4 linked regions of the Rattus norvegicus genome follow. The protein of the gene in region 1 interacts with the protein of each later gene in a biochemical or structural test. Links are inferred from orthologs where the notes say so. Each region holds a gene or a part of one and is shown in the gene's direction. Other genes may lie near its edges.

What was found.
Region 2: the proteins of Sin3a (region 1) and Klf16 form a complex in vitro, tested with the Homo sapiens proteins (2 studies listed by BioGRID). The link is inferred for Rattus norvegicus from reciprocal best matches to the Homo sapiens genes SIN3A and KLF16.
Region 3: the proteins of Sin3a (region 1) and Mecp2 form a complex in vitro, tested with the Homo sapiens proteins (2 studies listed by BioGRID). The link is inferred for Rattus norvegicus from reciprocal best matches to the Homo sapiens genes SIN3A and MECP2.
Region 4: the proteins of Sin3a (region 1) and Zbtb16 form a complex in vitro, tested with the Homo sapiens proteins (3 studies listed by BioGRID). The link is inferred for Rattus norvegicus from reciprocal best matches to the Homo sapiens genes SIN3A and ZBTB16.

The regions. Positions count from the first base shown.
Region 1 is NC_086026.1:66,380,295-66,384,590, forward strand, and holds the start of Sin3a (paired amphipathic helix protein Sin3a), read left to right. Parts: upstream 1-1,488; 5' UTR 1,489-1,625; intron 1,626-1,713; exon of another isoform or gene 1,714-1,972; intron 1,973-3,735; exon of another isoform or gene 3,736-3,841; intron 3,842-4,296. UniProt on the Homo sapiens protein: Acts as a transcriptional repressor. Corepressor for REST. Interacts with MXI1 to repress MYC responsive genes and antagonize MYC oncogenic activities. Also interacts with MXD1-MAX heterodimers to repress transcription by tethering SIN3A to DNA.
Region 2 is NC_086025.1:9,787,700-9,791,988, forward strand, and holds the start of Klf16 (Krueppel-like factor 16), read left to right. Parts: upstream 1-1,485; 5' UTR 1,486-1,568; coding exon 1,569-2,022; intron 2,023-4,289. UniProt on the Homo sapiens protein: Transcription factor that binds GC and GT boxes and displaces Sp1 and Sp3 from these sequences. Modulates dopaminergic transmission in the brain.
Region 3 is NC_086039.1:156,993,099-156,997,305, reverse strand, and holds the start of Mecp2 (methyl-CpG-binding protein 2), read left to right. Parts: upstream 1-1,403; 5' UTR 1,404-1,412; coding exon of another isoform or gene 1,413-1,522; intron 1,523-1,600; exon of another isoform or gene 1,601-4,207. UniProt on the Homo sapiens protein: Chromosomal protein that binds to methylated DNA. It can bind specifically to a single methyl-CpG pair. It is not influenced by sequences flanking the methyl-CpGs.
Region 4 is NC_086026.1:58,070,704-58,074,740, reverse strand, and holds the start of Zbtb16 (zinc finger and BTB domain-containing protein 16), read left to right. Parts: upstream 1-1,233; 5' UTR 1,234-1,304; intron 1,305-1,328; exon of another isoform or gene 1,329-1,575; intron 1,576-1,871; exon of another isoform or gene 1,872-2,013; intron 2,014-4,037. UniProt on the Homo sapiens protein: Acts as a transcriptional repressor. Transcriptional repression may be mediated through recruitment of histone deacetylases to target promoters. May play a role in myeloid maturation and in the development and/or maintenance of other differentiated tissues.

The DNA.
Region 1 (4,296 bases):
AGGCTTAGAGACCGCCATTAACTCATTCTGCCAAGGAGGCCATGGATACCCCTCACATTTTTTTTTTGAAGGGGCTGGCCTAGGAGACACTATTCCTGCCCTATCGAGGATAGTTGCGATTACAGGCTCTTCCCTTTGAACAGTCGTTTTTAAGACCATATCCTTCACACAATCTGGAATTTTTACTCGTTATCTGAATGTGAATGCACACTCAAGGTTTATTTATACAGTGGTCTGTGTGAGCTTTTCTGCATCCCTTCCTCCAGTTTAAAATGTCCCTGGATCTACCCGGCCGACCTGGAATACATTTTTTTTTCTCTCATGCTCCGCCTTCCGGAGGCTTGCCCAGGCGGTGACATTTAAAGGCCTCCGCTGGGTTATCTCCGCCCCCTGAGGGCTGCGGATTCTGGTTGTCCCAGTGTCACAGTATGCAGCCGGCTCTGGCGACTGGCTAGTAATATCTGGGTTTTTTGTATCAGATTAGAGCTCCAGACATTAATTTTGGAGTCGGCTTGCTGAAAGTAGCTGCTGAGTGCTCCAGATGGCTGTGTTTAGAAGACCGTGAAAGTGTAAAAATAAGTGGGTAGGAAGGACGAGGCTTTCTGTCATTGTTTTGGTTAATCCTCCAATGGTGGTAATACTACTGCCTTTTCCTTTTCAAATCTCAAAGCCTCCGGTTTCGACCGCTGCGCTGCGCGCCATCTCCGGTCCCGGCCTTGGAACGCTGAGCTTCAGTCTCCAGTGTAAACATTCCACAAAAGGACTGCTAAGGTTCAGCATCCTCGCGCAGGGCGGAATGGTCTCCTTCCTGGACCGGCGCCGTGTCCAATGGCGGCTCCTACCGGCGCCAAGATAGTCCAATCAGATCTTTGGGGGCGGAGCCTGGCCCAGCAGTGTAGTGGGTGGAGTCGGCCTCACTTAAGGACATTTTTACCCCACATTGGTTACTTACCTTCCTAGGGCTATGAGAGAAGCAAAGGTAGTCTTCCAATGCGGGAACCGGCGGAGGCGGGAGCCGATTTGTTAGGCCTGTGGCTGGGGCGGTATGGGGAGGGATATGTGAGACTCTCCAATGAGATGTGACGAGGTACCCTTCTTCCTCCAATAGTATTGGAGCCTGGAGGAGGGATTCGGCAATCAGTCTCCAATAGGCGGGGTTGAGTTAGGGACTCTCCCCGCCAATAGGGGCGTGGAGAAGGTGAGCGGCTTGCTCTCCCCTCCCAGCGAGGGAAGAGGGCGGGAATAGGCCTTTGCGGCACGGTGATTGGCTAAACCATTGACGGATGGGTAATATATCCCGTGGCGGAGCGAGGTTAAGCCTTCCCTCGGCGGGGCGGGCCGGGAGAGTGGGCGGGATTTCCCGGGTAACAGAGAAGCGGCCGCGGCGGTAGAGGCGGCAGAGACGGTTTCTCCATCTTCCCCCCTCCCCTTCCCCCCTTAGAGTTTCCCTCCCTCCCTCCCTCCTTCCCAGTCTGGACACCCAGGCCTGTGACCGCTTCGTAGGCGCAAAGGAGGTTGCCAGTCCGCTCTTGCGGGCCTGTGCCCGCGCCGTTCCGGGGCCTCCGTGCTGGGTGCGAGGCTCACGCCGGGAGCGACGCGCAGGCTGAGTGGCTGGAGCTTTTGCGGTGAGAGCACGCCGCGTCGCGGTCTGCCCAGCAGCTGGGTGGCGGGTAACCCGGGACTGGAGGGCGTGTGTTTTTCGGGGGGGCTGACCTCGGCTTCCCGTGCGTGGCTGTGGGGGGCGGAGCGGAGCCGCACTCAGTGCGGGAGGGGGAGGAGAGCGTAGTCCCGGTGCGCACGGAGGGGCGGGCCCTAGTCCCGCCGATCAGAGGCGGGGCCGGCGCGCGTGCGGTGGTGGAGAAAGGGGCGGGGCGGGCTGGGACTAAAGGCCCGCGGCCGTGGCCCCGCCCCTTCTCCCCTTGTGGGCGGGGACACGGGTTGTACTGCTTTGGGTCCGCGGGGTGTGCGGGACGAGAAGAGGGTCCCGGCGTGTGGCTTTTAGGGCGCGGCGGCGAGGGGGCGTGAAGCCTGTGTTCCCCCGCCTTAGCGGGATCCGGTTGGCCGGAAGGCGCGTCCGGGGCTGTGATGCCACGCCCCTCCCGCCCCGCCCCCGCCGGGATTTCCGCCTCCTTAGCTGTGAAGCATAGCTGGGGAAAGCCCGCTGTAGCGTCTGGCAGGGGTCAGGGTTCCGTGTCTGCCCCGCCCTGCGTCCCTGTAGGTGGGAAGGCCGCTTGTAGACTGGGAGCGGTGGAGGTGTCCCGACTTTCTGCTGTGGCTTCTCCATCCATTCTGCTTGGGGCATCGTGGCCCGGAGCTGTAGTCTCTACTTTGCTTCACGCATCGTGAATGGCGCCTTAAAAGCTATGGAGAGTAGAAGCGTGGTCAGCTGCTCCTCTTAGTTGTAATTATTGGGACGAGAAACTCAGCGTCCTCTCTGGAGTGTCTGCGGTGGGGTGCGGCTGGTGCTGGGCCCATGCTTCCCCGCCAGTGGCCGGTGGGGGAGGGGCAGCGTACTCAGAGACTGAGATTCTGGAGGGCGCCAACCTTTCCTAGAGTTCCCTTGGTGTTCAGCTACTGTGCCTTAACAGAGCTAAGCTGTGCACCCATGGGTAGATAGCTAAAATTTGCTACCATTTTTGGTACCTCAGGACTTTAAACTCAGTTTGCCGTTCCAGCTCCTTATAAAGCTGAGACTGTATTTCTAGAGAAAGGATTGAATTTACTTCTTAATCTTAAAACTGGTCTTTGGCAGAGATGATATTTGAAGATGATTGTGTGTGTCGGAGTTTATTTAAGGCACATAAGTATTGCTTCACCACTAGGTTATACCCCAGGGCTGATTTTTTTTCCTCTAGTCAGAATTTTTCTTTTTAATTTAAGTAAAATACTTTGATTTCTTGATTTTTTTTTAACCTACAGAAGGTTTTGTTATATAAGCTTAGCTGCACAAAGGTAACTTAAAATTTTGTGTTCTCTTTTAGTTTTATGTAATTGTTAGTCCTTAAAGATCTTTTTAGATGCTAAGTAGGTTGAACCTTATGAAACCTATGTGTAGCATGACCTCCCAACCTGTGTTACTTTGGCCATTGTGGATTTATTGCACAGGTAACCTTATTAGGTGGGTTGGTGTTAGCTGATCTTATTTAGAGAACTTTTTATGAAAAGTAAACACTGAATCCTTAATTTATGTATTGATGTCTGAATGAGTATGTATAAACCACTTTTAAAAAAGATTTATATTAAAGTGTGCGTGCGTGTGTAAGGCCAGAATAGGATGTTAGATCCCCTGTAGGTGGAGTTAACAGGTGGTTATGAGCCACCCGACATGGGTTCTGGGAACCCAACTTAGGTCCTTTTGCACGAGCAGTCTGCAGTCTGTATTGAGCCGTCTCTAACCCCATCGTTTATATGTAATTTCTGAAGCTAAATTCTGGATTTGTCCTTTGTTCAGTAGAGGCTGAAAACCATGCCCTGTGCCGTACATAATGAAGAGGTTAAATATTCACTTTTCAGCTAAAAAAGTGACAACAGCAGTAGTAACAGAATTGAGGTGGAGGCCAAAAGATAAGAACTTGGGTGTCTTACAGATGTAGCACATTGAAAACGGTAGTAGAGAATGCTTAGCCTTTGAGGAAAGTTTGCCTAACCTCAGTTAATTCTACCATTTGAAGCACAGTCTGGGAAATACAGATGACCTAATTCATATCTTTTTTGTTTTTCTTGTTTTGTTTTTAGAAACAAGAGTTTAACTGTAGCCCTGGGTGTCCTGGAGCTCACCCTCTAGACCAGGCTGGACTCAAATTCAAGAGATCTGTCTGCCCCCCAAACGCTGGGATTAAAGGCATGTGCCGCCACTGCTGGGCATAATTCGTACTCTTATAGAATGTGTATTCTAGATTGTGTGCTGGAGTCACAAGTCCTAGGCTTTAAAAATTCAAGAACCTAGTTATATTTGTTTGCTTTTGTTTTTGTTTTTTCTATTTTTACATTTCCATCCATCAGTACTATATGTTTATTTTTACTTACTAGTATCTAAGAGAACCTGAGTTCAGTTTTTAGCACCCATGTCAACATGTATCTGGAGCTCCAAGTACTGACACCTCTGGCCCCTAGGCACCCAGACACAGGTGCATACCCATATATCTATACACGTGTGAAAAAAACAGAAATATAGCTTTGAAAAATGTTAATACTTTTAAATTCAGGCCTTAATAGTTCGCATAAAGAAGTTTTTTTTTCTTCTTTTTTTTAAGACTTGAGATCGGTATTAATTAGATTCCTGGCAAAGCACAGCCA
Region 2 (4,289 bases), on another chromosome or scaffold:
AAAGTGTCAACACAAAGTATAGTGGGGCCTAGGGAAACACGGCCAACTCGACGGTAGAGAGATGGAACCTGACCAAGTAAGACAGCTTGGAGTACAGGTCGGGAAAGTAGACACGACACCCAGAGTAGGGGCCTCTGCCACCGTTTAGCCTTTGCTGGAGAATAAACATGATGGAGCTGGGGTGCTCCGCCCACTGGAGGCTGCGCAGGCCACTGCATGGCCTCGACAACCCGGCGGGAGTTAGGAAGGGGCGGGAGCCTGGTCTCCTACTTCCGCGCAACCGGCGCCTGGGGCCTGTGGCTTTTAGGGGACCATCATTTCACAACTTGGCCGATTATCCATGCAAGTTTCCAATCGCTCCTTTAGTCAGCCTCAGTTTGCCCTCCCCCAGTCTCAAGGGCCCAGCTGGGGAAGGGAAGAAACGACCCGAACTCTGGTATCCCGAGCTTGGCACAGATGACCGAGCCAGGCCATTTTATTGCAGCTCCGCTCACTTTTGCCATACCGGTTATCCACAGGCCTAGTGATTCCCGAATCCCGGTGCGCAAAGACGAACGCTACAGACTCGATCAGCCAGGCAGGGTGGTGGGTACCCTACACTGAAAAGTTCCACCTTTGGGATATTTTGTTCCCCAAACCAAGAATGGCATTGGGGACCCAGAGATGGGGAGTCAGAACCTGTGGGTTAATGCCCTGTTCCAGGGCGAGGAAGGAGGGGGAGGGTCGCGCACGTGGCTCGGGGGCGGGGCAGCGCGCTTCCGCACCCCCACCCTGGCCACGTGCGGAACGCAACCCCCACACACATACACCGCGGACAGGGGCGCGTCCCAGTGCCTGAATGTTGGGGGAGGGACGAGTTGGAGAGGGGAGGGCTCCCGGCGACTGCGCACCCCGCACAGCGTGGTGGGCGCGCCGGGAAGGAGATGGAGCGCGCACCCCGAGGAGGCGTGGCGCGCACTGGGGTAAAGGCGGGGCATCCGAGGCTGGGGTGGGGTGTGTGGGCGTGTCGCAGGGGTGGGCGTAACTCTCAACGCGTTGGGAGGTGGCGATCCAGGAAGGGCACCGGTAGGGGTAGTGCGTGCCAGACCAGAGGAACGGTTTGCCTCCGCTGGCTTGTTCTTGAGTGGAGAGGACACAATCCAGGGTGATAGGGGACCCCGGGTGCTCTGCTGGTACACGAGAGTGTCGAAGTGGGGGAGGACCGGCAGCTGGCGTAGTGAGCTCCGCCCATCCGCGGCGGCGCGCGACTCTCCGGACGACAGAGGGCGCGGCAGGAGGGGGCGTGACCGCGGTGGGGAGAGGGCGTGGCCACTGAACCCCGAGGGGGCGTCCTACGGGCGGGGCGGGCCGTGGCCGCCCCCGCGGGCTCCGGTGCGTCAGGGAGCGTCAGGCGGGGCGGGGCGGGGCGGGACTGAGCGCGGGCGGCGGCGGCGCGCCGGGGGCCTCCTCCTCCCTTCCCTCCTCCGCCTCCCGCACTCCAGCAGCCGCTGCCGGCCGGACGGGCGTAGGTCCCGCCGCCTCCGCCTCTCTCCCGCCGCGGATCCCGTGCCTCCGCGTCCTTGCCCGGCATGTCGGCGGCCGTGGCGTGTGTGGATTACTTTGCCGCCGACGTGCTCATGGCCATCTCTTCGGGAGCCGTGGTGCATCGCGGGCGACCCGGCCCCGAGGGCGCGGGCCCCGCTGCCGGCCTGGATGTGCGCGCCACGCGCCGCGAGGCCACGCCGCCGGGGACCCCTGGGGCACCGCCACCGCCAGCCACCGCTCCGGGGTCGGGAGGCGCCACCGCTGCGCCCCACCTGCTGGCCGCCAGCATCCTGGCCGATCTGAGAGGCGGGCCGGGAGTCGCCACAGCAGCCAACACCGCGGGGGGCACCTCTCCGGTCTCCTCCTCCTCGGCCGCTTCGTCTCCGTCTTCGGGCCGCGCCCCCGGCGCGGCCAAGAGCCACCGCTGTCCCTTCCCAGGCTGCGCCAAAGCCTATTACAAGTCTTCGCACCTCAAGTCACACCTGCGGACTCACACAGGTAAGCCCCTCGTTTTTTGCACCGGTGGGTTCAGGGAGTGCAGTAGAGAGATCTCGGGAACCCCATTTCCCCCTCACACTTGGAACCCCGAAACTGCGTGGCGCGTGGGGGGCGGGGAGGGGGGCGCGCCCAGGCTTCAGCGGCCCGCCGGCCGGGAGGGCGGGGACGTGGTGGGTGGGGCGCGCGCGGGGAGGCGTGGCGGCCACGCGGTCGGGCGGCGCGCTGAGGGCGGCCGGGGTGGCCAAATCTCCCGCGACTGCAGGTCGTTCGGTATCCACCCTGGCGTGGTGGGTTCAGCACGTGCGATCGCAGCCCTCAGCTTCCTAACCTCAGTCCCGCTTGCTGTTTCTGTCCTGCTTTTTTGTGCTCATGGTCTCTCATGCTTGGTGGTCAGAACATCCGGTTCCGTAGTTCCTCCGCCCTCCCCCAGCCTCAGTTTCCTTATCTGTGAAGAGGGTTGGTAGATCCGGGTTACCGCCTCCGGGGTAGCAGCGCGGATTCCCTCCGAAGGGCAGCGAAGCCTACAGCATAGGGTTAAGTGATAGCGGTGGTGAGGGGGTGGCTGCCCGGGACATTTTTCTTTCCATTCTGTGTACTTGAACGTGGTGGAGTGAGGCCACGACCCGGACCCGGAGTTGGGGCTTGAATCTTCAATCCAATAGGATTGAAATACCCACCACAACTCTCCTCCCACCTCTTGTGTTGGCCCACTCCACACACCTGTGATCGATCTGTTCAAGGTCCAAGGTGGGCAACGAGCTTTAGCCACACCAAGTGTTTCTGGGAAGCCCAAATGGATGAGACAAAAGCTTTTGCTAGGTACTGGCTGCTTCCTGACCTGGATGATCCAAGGGTCTGTCCGTGTTAGCTGGGAGTGTGCACTGGGATTTGAGAATCCACCCCTTTGGCAGTGGTGTGATCTACAGCTCTGAGGCCTCCCTGGAATAGGGCCACCCGTCTGTTATGCCCCTAATTTACTTGCTTTTGGTCCACCATCTCCTGCCTACATAAAAGATAGAGGCCGCCTTTCTCTTACAGTTGCTGTGGGCAACAAGGCACCCAAACAGGGCTTGATTGATCGGGGGCTTCCATCACGGTCACACTGGGAGAGTTTAGGACAGCCCCCATAGGTGCGTGGGTGGCCTCAGGCATGTTCAGGGCAGGTAGGGGGGTAGGGGAGCCATCTTTGGATCCTGCTGAGCCAGAAAGTGGGCATAGATGGTGCCTCCTCTCGCTCTGTCTTTGAGCCGCTGCCCTTAGCCCCTGTGGTGTAGAGGCTGCCCCCATGTTGGTGCCCACATGCACAGGCAGCTCCATATGAATACGCCATTCTCTCTACAGAACATTTGAGGGGGCCACACAGATAGCAAGGCTGTGTGAGTGTGAGTGAGAGGGAGGGGGGAGGAAGAGAATGGAGAGAGATCTCTCTCTTTGCCACACAGTGGAGTCCAGGGTGTCCTGGTTCATGCTAAGTGAGTTTGGCCACGCAGTGATGGGACCCTGTCTGATTCAGGCTGCACCGCCCACACTTTCCAAACCAGCAGTCTTTCTGGTTCCCAGAACTTGGGGTGGGTAAAAGAGGAGTCCAGTGTCCTCCCCACATACCTCCTGGGACATCAGGAGACAGTTCTGTTACTCAGCTGTCAAAGGCTGTAGGCCATCCCTAAACTGGGAGGGTGACCTGGTGGGCCAGAGCAACTGAGAGCTGAGAGCTGAAATCTGGGGTCTGGGGATGACGGCAGTGACCTGGGGTGTGGGGTGGCTTCCACACTTCACTGGCTCCTTGTGTCAACACCAGGGGAGAGGGGTTGCTATGTCCCCAAACCCCGAATTATAGCCATTTGTGGGACCGGGAGATTCACGGGGGTCTGGGCACCTTTATGTTATTTTGGGGGTATCTGGGGACCACTTACCTTCGGTTCTGCCGTTTAGTTGTTTAAATGACTTATCCTTGTAGACAGGACCACTGCAGCCCTGGCAGTCCTAGGACTTGCTCTGTAGACTAGGCTGGCCTTAAACTAACTCACAGATTGGCCTGCCTCTGCCTCTCGAGTACTGGGATTAAAGACGTGCACCACCAGGCCTCATTTTTTGAGATATGTTTGTTCTCACTCTGTAGCCCAGGCTAACTTTGAAACTCAAGGAAATCCTCCTGCTTCAGCTTTCTCCTGAGGGCCACAGCTGACTTGCCCAGTCTCTCCTCTGTGGAGAGACTGTGTGGTCACAGACACCTCGGGTGCTGGGCCTGGGGTAGATCTGGTCTCCTT
Region 3 (4,207 bases), on another chromosome or scaffold:
ATCATCCCCCTTCTTCTTCTCCCCACCCCAACTGTTGTCAGGACCTCTGGACTGGCCTGTTCTCCATTCTTCACTGGCAACATAGGTTTTATGATGCCAGCTAGTGACTCAAGTATCAAGGGCTTCTCATCTCAAAATAATCTCCCAGTTCTTTTGGTGACCTAAGTCTCTCTCCAGTCACACTGGCCTCCTTGGCAAGACATGCATAGTCCTTCCTTAGAGTGTTTAAACTTGCCTAGAATGTTTTCCCCAGTTACCCATATTGGGGGATGACATGGGCAAGTGCTAGAGGTTATCAAAATAGCACTCCTTTCGCTCTTGCCCTATTTCAAAGTCTTTATGAAAAATTTTAAATTCTACTTACTTGTATGTTTAGTATGATTCTTTCTTACCAGGATTCTAGTCTGTCTCCTTGTTCAGTACTAAAACAGTGCCTAGCAACTAAATGAATGGAGAGGGGAGCCAAATTTGAATCCAAAAGTCTCCTATTGAGCACAGGATTAGCACAAGGAGCATCGAATGCTGACTAGTATAAGGGTAAGGTTGCTTTGACAATCCTGACACCTTATTACCTAAACCTTCCCTCATACTCTGAAATCCAGATTGCTGGATCTCAGGTCTTCAAAGCAGGGCTGCTTCCTCTGGGCTCACTCTCTTTTATACTTACTTCAATCAAACCTTCTGATTCAACAATGACAGACAAATCTCTTATTAGCTTGGCATCTGACATCTGCCCACTATAAAGGTCTGCAAAGACCAGGATTTGTTTGATATGTTGATTTTACTGCCTTAAGAGTGCTAATTAGGTGGAATAATACAATTGGTAGAGCCTTTAAAACAAGTCCCTTGGCTTGGAACAACATCAGGCTCCTCAACAGGCAACTTTGCTGCTTCTACAGAAAATGATACTAAGAAAATGCTGGTGCAGTTAAATGCTTATCACAGCGTGCCCGATGCGCTTGCGGATAGAGGGCAGGGCGGTTCTAATAGGCGACAAGAGCCTAGACTTCCTTAAGCGCCAGAGTCCACAAGGGCCCCGTTAATCCTCAACATTCAAACGCTGCCCACAAAACCAGCCCCTCTGTGCCCTAGCCGCCTCTTTTCTCGAAGTGACAGTAGACCTCCACCAATCCGCAGCTGAATGGGGTCCGCCCCTTTTCCCTGCCTAAACAGACAGGAACTCCTGCCAATTGAGGGTGTCACCGCTAAGGCCCCGCCCCAGCCTGAGCTCCACAGCCAATAGAGGGTAAACTCGACAAAGCGCTGCCGTTAGGGCGCGGGCGCGCAGGTGCAGCAGCGCCCAGGCTGGCCGGGAGGGCGGGGCGCGACGTCGGCCGTGCGGGGTCCCGGCATCGGTTGCGCGCGCGCTCCCTCCTCTCGGAGAGAGGGCTGTGGTAAAAGCCGTCCGGAAAATGGCCGCCGCCGCTGCCGCCGCTGCCGCCGCCGCCGCCGCCGCTGCCGCCGCCGCCGCCGCCGCCGCCGCCGCGCCGAGCGGAGGAGGAGGAGGCGAGGAGGAGAGACTGTGAGTGGGACCGCCAAGGCTGCGGGCGGGGACCCTTGCTGGGGGGGGCGGGGGGTAGGGGCGGGACGTGGCGCGGGAGGGGCCCGCGGGGTCGGGCGACACGGCTGGCGGATGGCGTCCCTCCTCTCTACCCTCCCCCTCTCTCTGTCGCCGGTGGTGGCTTTCTCCACTTGTCTCCCGCAATTGCGAGCGACGGTCCTCAGCGCGATCTCCCTCGAGCCACCTTCGAATGACGCCCTCCCGCTGCCCGCTGCCCGCCCCATCTGTGCGCATCTTGGGCCCCAGCCTTTGCAAGCGCCCTTGTCGTCTGGGTTTCGCCAGTTGGGGCTGTGCGCGCTCCTGCCCTTCTTGGGGTTTTGGGCCGCGGCACTGCCGCGCGCCCGCGGTCCCGGCCTCTCCCTGGATCGCGCTGTCCCCTCTCCCTCGCGCGCCCCCACTCCCGTTACTCGCTCCCCCCCCCCACATACTGGCGCGCGTGCGCAGTCCATCTCCCGTTGGGAGAGTGCGCCACAAGGGCTCCTGAGCTCTTACCCCCATCTCTGGATTTTGCTCCCTCCTTCTCCTCTCCCATTCCATGACTTTTTGCCCCCACTGCAAGCGAGTCAGTCCATCAGCTCCATTCCCCACTTGGCAGGAACAAGTTGGGGGTTAGTGTCCACCCACAAAAAGGACTAGACACTATGTTCCTAGGTCCCACAACTCATCATAAAGAGATGGTTGTAGTTCTCATCAGGAACCGTGGGCTAGGGACTGTGCGTTCCTCAGCACTCGAAGCTCTTCCGTGAGACCATGCCCGCAGGGTGCTCTGGTTCTTTGGGGATGCTGTACTGTGGCTTCGGAATATGAGCGTCTTCCCACCCTCCCTCCCCTCCCTTCGCCAGCGATCATCCAGTTACATAAGTGGAATGGGACTTTGTATGTAATGGGCTCTCTTGGTCCTGGAGTGCTCAGGATCTCCAGTACCAAACATCGCTATGACTCCTCTGTCAATTATCTCTGAAAGTTCATTCTCTTTTTAGTTCGGTTATGACTGAATCACTTAAAATAAAACACAGGTGACTTTTATGTGTCAGTAGCAATGTTTCTGAGGTTTTGCACTAAAGGTTTAATCAATCGTGGTGGAGTCTAAAAAGATTCGGTTTCACAAGAAAGACCCTGGTGTGACATTGTTAAGTATGGACCCCCGCAGGGCAAAGCTTGCTAGGGAATACCTCTGTGCTAGTTCTTTGTATGTTCCGGTAAAGGTTCATCAAAACAAAAATGGGCTCCACCATAAAATTGATATTCCTGACTCATAGTCAGGGAGATATGTACTCCTGGTTAATTTTCCAGGAACACAAATGGGCTCTGTTGAGTCATTTGCATGTCGTCTTCAGTGTTTGGAATCATTACCCCAAACAGTGAGACAATAATCTCAAATATAGGGTTGTTGATGGCGATCATGAAACAGAATGAACTAATTTATAGTGCTAAGTGACTGAGATGTTGTAGGACTCTCACAAGTTCTAGATGTTTTTGATATACTACGTAAATGAAACCAATTTGGGCCTGGGTAGTAAAATTTCACTAATAGGTAAATTATTATTGTATTTTGGGTTTGTGGTTGGATTTATGTGAATCTCAGCAATTTCAATTAATAACATGATTTAAGCTGATGTCTTAGGTTCTTTGAAATATGTTGGATCTCTATAAAAAAAAGTTTGGACTGTTAGGTCCTTGGGGAATTTCCACCAAGGATTTGGAAAAATATATTTATAGGCTTTGGTTTTTTGTGTGTTTGTTTTTAACTTCAAATTCAAGTCATACTCAGAAAGCCTAGAAAACACTTGCTTTTATCTTCTTACCTGGGTATGTCAGAACCTTAAAGAATCCACACACTTTAAAAGTACAAATGATCTAAAATGAGTTAATACACATAACCCATTCATTAAACAAATTGCTGACCGACAGACAGAGTGCATTCACTTTCACAAACACACCCAAAAGATTTCAAAGTTTATACATTTGAGCCTGAGCTCAGAGTCGAAACCTTTACTTTGTTTTCATATTCTGTAACATGTTTGCTTCCTCAGGTGCCCCTCGGGTTAGCTATTTGTTTTACTCATAGCTCTTTAAACATTGTAAGCAACTTTTAAAACAGTTTCCTTTCAAAGTTCCTGTTGACATCTGAAGTTAGTGTGTCCTAAGAATTTGAAGAAACTATATGACTTTCTTGCTAGTATTGATCTATCACACATGCCTATTTCCTTTCCATGAGAATGTGTCTTGAGTGCTTTAAAGCTACAGTAACAGGTTCCTCTTTCACTGAAGAAGAAAGCATCATGTAGACGTTGTACTCCAAGGATTATTTTTTTCCTTTTTGTTGTTATTGTTATACTGGTGGTTAGACCCAGGACTTCATGCTTGCCAGGCAATCACCTCATATCCTTAGCTGCCTTCTGTTTTTTGTGCTGTTTGAATCCTGAGGTACACATGACCACAAAGACCACACGTAGACCACAAAGGTTTTGGAAGCTTATTATATGTTTTTGCAATCTGTGTTTGTATTTTCCAGATAGAGTTGTTCCCTCTGCCTGATCTGCTTCTATGAAGCTTAATCTATTGGGGACAGGGAGACAAAGCTATGGAGTTTGAAGGAAAAACCTGCTAAATTCTATGTTCTAGTGCCCCAACTCCACCCATGCA
Region 4 (4,037 bases), about 8.3 Mb from region 1:
TGGGGCTTTTGAGGGAGGCTCGAGCTCAGAAAAGTACCTCCCCCCCCCCCAATCTCCTGCCCAGTTTCATGTGAAAAGGAAGAGACGGAGCTTTCCGCAGGTAGAGGAAGGACAGATTTTTCTTTGGTTTACGGTTTGGCATCTCAACTACGCCCTTTAAAGTGGGCCAGCCGCCGAGGGAAGAAAGAACTCTGGAGCGGCCTAGCGCTCTTCGTAGCTTCCAGTCGCTCCGGAAGGCTGAGCTGAGCTAGGCGCAGGATCTTCACAACTTTCCATCCAGGTTCTTGGGGCCGGGGGAAAATAAGGGGAGGATGCCTGAGATTGGGAGTGAGAAAGTATTACTACTCGGGCCTTGACATCTCAGTTTGCGACAATCTAGATTGCAAAACCGAGGTGTCACCTCCTACCAGTTCTCTACTGGCCCCTCTGGATTTATCTGGCCAAATCCCGCTAACTCAGACGCTCATCCCCGCGGGCAGGCATGAGAGGCCTGGTTTGGGACTGGGGAAACGACCCATTTAAAACTAGTGTCTAGGGTAAGGAAGGATGCAGTCCGAATCCCGAGGAAAAGTGAAAGGCTAGATGCCACACACTGGTGCAAATAATAGAGAACGGGACAAAACTGCGCTCCTGAGCACCGGAGTTGGGGGAGTTGGGGACGCGGGATAAACCGCATGCCCAGTGGAAATGAAAAACCTGGTGCTAAAGTGGGAACTGTTCCTCCCTCTCATCCTTCTGACCCCTTGGGGGTTGCCAGATCCTCTGCGGCTCCTCTTCCTTGCAACCTTTTGCCCTCTCCACCTAGCCACGGGCAACAGCCGCTGGCGCCGGGGCAGCAGCTAGATGTCAGGAGAAGCCCGGAGCGCCGAGCGCTGGGAAGGGAGGGGAGCGCCCGGGAAGGGAGGGCAGGGCTGGGAGCGCGCACGGGCTCAGCCAGGGCGGGGGTGGGGCGGGGTGGGCGGGCCAGGGCCGGCCAGGGGGAGGGGAGGGGGCAGCTGTGGGCAGGGAGCCGGGCTCGGCCGCCAGCACTAAAGATGGAGAGGCGCCGGGGCCTCGCAGGGGAGGGGGCTCGGCGTTGACGTGGGACGCGGCGGAGGCGCCGCAGCCGGTGGTGATTTGCTAACCTAGCGGCAGAGAGGAGTTAAGGGTGATGAGAGCGGGTACTGCGAACTGCCGGGCGATGCCGCCGCTGCCGCCGTGAGATCCGGAGCAACAGTTCCCCAGCAACACCCCTTCCCCGATCCAGGCACACCCCTAACCCCCCAGGCACGCACACCCACCCCAAGCTCCCGGCTCTGCAAGCGGTAAGTGTATGTGTGTAGGGAACCCGGGAAGGACTCGCACCGCCCAGCGACCGCCTCCCGCCAGGCGCCCTGGGGCGGGAGAGGTTTAGGCGGGTGGCGCTAGCTTTGGCCACTCGGCCGCTGGGCTCGTGCGGGGTTCTCTGGTTGCTGCTGCTGCTTCTGCAGCGATCGCCCGTGCCGGTTGGGGGTCAGCTAGAAAGCGGAGCCGAGGCTGTCAGCTCGGGCGCAGCTGCCTCACCAACCTTCCTCCTCCGGGCACGGTCCGGTCCGGGTGAGAGGTGGCAGGCCGGGAGGTCTGCCAGGGCTGCGGGAGCGTATAGTCGGGGACTGGGTGTCTTTGTACAGGCAAGGGCTGGCGGAGGAGCAGAGAGCCTGTGGGTGCTCATATGTATGCGGACCGGTGCGCTTGGCGTGAGCTAGGATTGTGTCTTATTTATTTGTGTTTATTCGCTGGCGGGCTGGGGAGCTGGAACCGGAGGAAGCGAGGAGTGAACCTGGAGGGCGGGTGGGAGGGGACTGGTACCCGCTCGGGTTTTGTTTTCTTTAGAGAAAACGTGGTGGGATTTTTCTTCTTCTTGATTGGACTTGATGCCCCCTTTTAAGGAGAGAGGGAAGCTTCGGAGAGACTCTGGCGCTCCGGGTCCTCCTCGGCTCTCGGTGGGAACAGCCCGTGGAGCCGGAGCTCGCTGTGCGCTCCCGGCCGCGCACGGTGGGTTCCCGGCTCTGCACCTGATGCATTCGGAATGTCTTTCCCACCCTGGCGCGCTGCAAGCTTGCCCAGCCCCTCGCACGCTCCCGCACGCGCTCGAAATGCGCACGATCCTGGCAGCCTGCGGACCCCACCGGAATGCACAGACGCGCACCGCTGCAACCAGCTCGCCTCCTCCCCGCCACGCTCCCAGCGTGTCTGACTCGGGCACGCCGGCAGCTGGTGCGGGAGGCCGGGGACCCTGCTGGTGGCTTCCCAGGGATCTCGATCCTGGGTGGAAGGTGGAGGACCCAGAGATCTCTTCTCGCTTGGCCTCCCACCACTTGCCTCGGGGCTTTTTGTGCTTCCTTTTCTCCCCCGGGGGGTTGCGCCGTCCGGCCGGCCTAGCAGCGGCGTCCAGCCGGCTCGGACATTCTCCTTTCCCGGGTCTCTTTCGCTTTCCTCCTTTTTTCAGCTCCGATCCCTTTCTTCCAGGCACCTGACTCCCGGGGAAAAGTTGCTTTTCCAAGTTTGCCAAAGTCCTCTGCAAGTCTAGGCGGGGGGTCTCTGGGAACAAGGGGTGTGTTGCGCCATCGATCCTTGGAGCTCTGTGGCGGGTTAGCGCTGGCTTTGCCCAGAGTCGGCTGACCGCTGCACCTAGCGACAGTCGGATCGGGTGCGGAGCTGCGGGTTAGGGAGAGGGCACCTTGATTTCCCTTAAGGCTCAAAAGGCTCCTTTGGAGGAAGATATTTGGCAGAGAACCTTCTTTATTTCGGCTTCTCTCCCTTAGTTCTTGAATCTCTGATCTCTCCCGAAAGCACACCATGTTCAAGAAGCTTTTGACGAATGAATATCTCACCACTGTTGATGCCCTCCGTTTCTACTTTGGGGTGGGCAGTAAGAGTGGCCAGCCAGTACTGTTAACTCTTTCTGCATGAGTTTTGCGTCTAAGGGTCCTTAAGACTCTCGTTGAGGGTGAAGGCATGCTCTATGAAGAGTGCGTGAGAAGCCTAGCTCTCTCCACCCTCTCTCCCCAGGCTGTGTGAAATGTTGGCTGCAGACAGAGGTTGAGACCTTATCCCGTTAGGTCTTTCTGCCCATGTCTCAATGGCTGTTCAAAGTCGAGAGCCTCTCAGTCATCCAGAATACACTCTGGGAGAGGCCTTTGTGTCTCAGCTCTGTCTTCCCTTCCTTCTGGGCTTAACTCACGCCAGAGATGCTGGTGCCAATGTCACTTACAGAACCATATTCAGTGTCAGTTTTTCTCCTTGTCACTGGGCTTGCCAACACCTGGGAGGCATCCAGTCTGGTGTGAACCCTCAAGGCTGTTGGGAACATAGCCTCCTATGATGTTCTCTGCTTTCTCTTCTTAGAGCGTTCTGTCCATTGGTGCCTTGTGGGCCAGAGGTAAAAGAGGGGGTTGTAGCATCTTGTATAATTGTATGTAGATGTGGGTGAGCGAACACACACACACACACACACACACACACACACACACACATCTCTTGGACACATACAGCAACTTTGAGGAACTTGTAGTTAGAAATGACTTAAGCTAGAATGTGATGTGGTAGGGGTGGGGTGGGGGTGTGTGTGGTGGGGTGTGTTTGTCCCAGCCTAAGAAATGGGTCTGCCAATCCTTTGCAGCCCTGACCAGAGTGCAAGGACAAAGGCTGTAGAAGTCACTGATGATGGAGAGGAGATGTGTCTGGGATGACTAGGAGAGGACAACCCCATTGCCTGCAGATAGGAGACCAACCATCATGTTTAGCAGCCAGTGCTGGCAGGCTCTGGTTGTCTCCTAAGGCCGTCTCAGTGAGCGAGAACTAGAAAGCCATTGAGGATGAGGGTTTGCCAATAGGGAGGGGGTGAGCGGTAAGACTGAATGCTTAGGTTGACTAAGGGGAGGGGTTGAAAACTCCTTAATTTTAAGTAAGTTTGTGAGCCTCATGTTGGACACTGGTCTTACACAGGAAGGCTCTGCTCTCAGGCTTAAAGAATGGCTAGGATTCAATGCACTTTATCCAATGCACTGCTTCAGAGC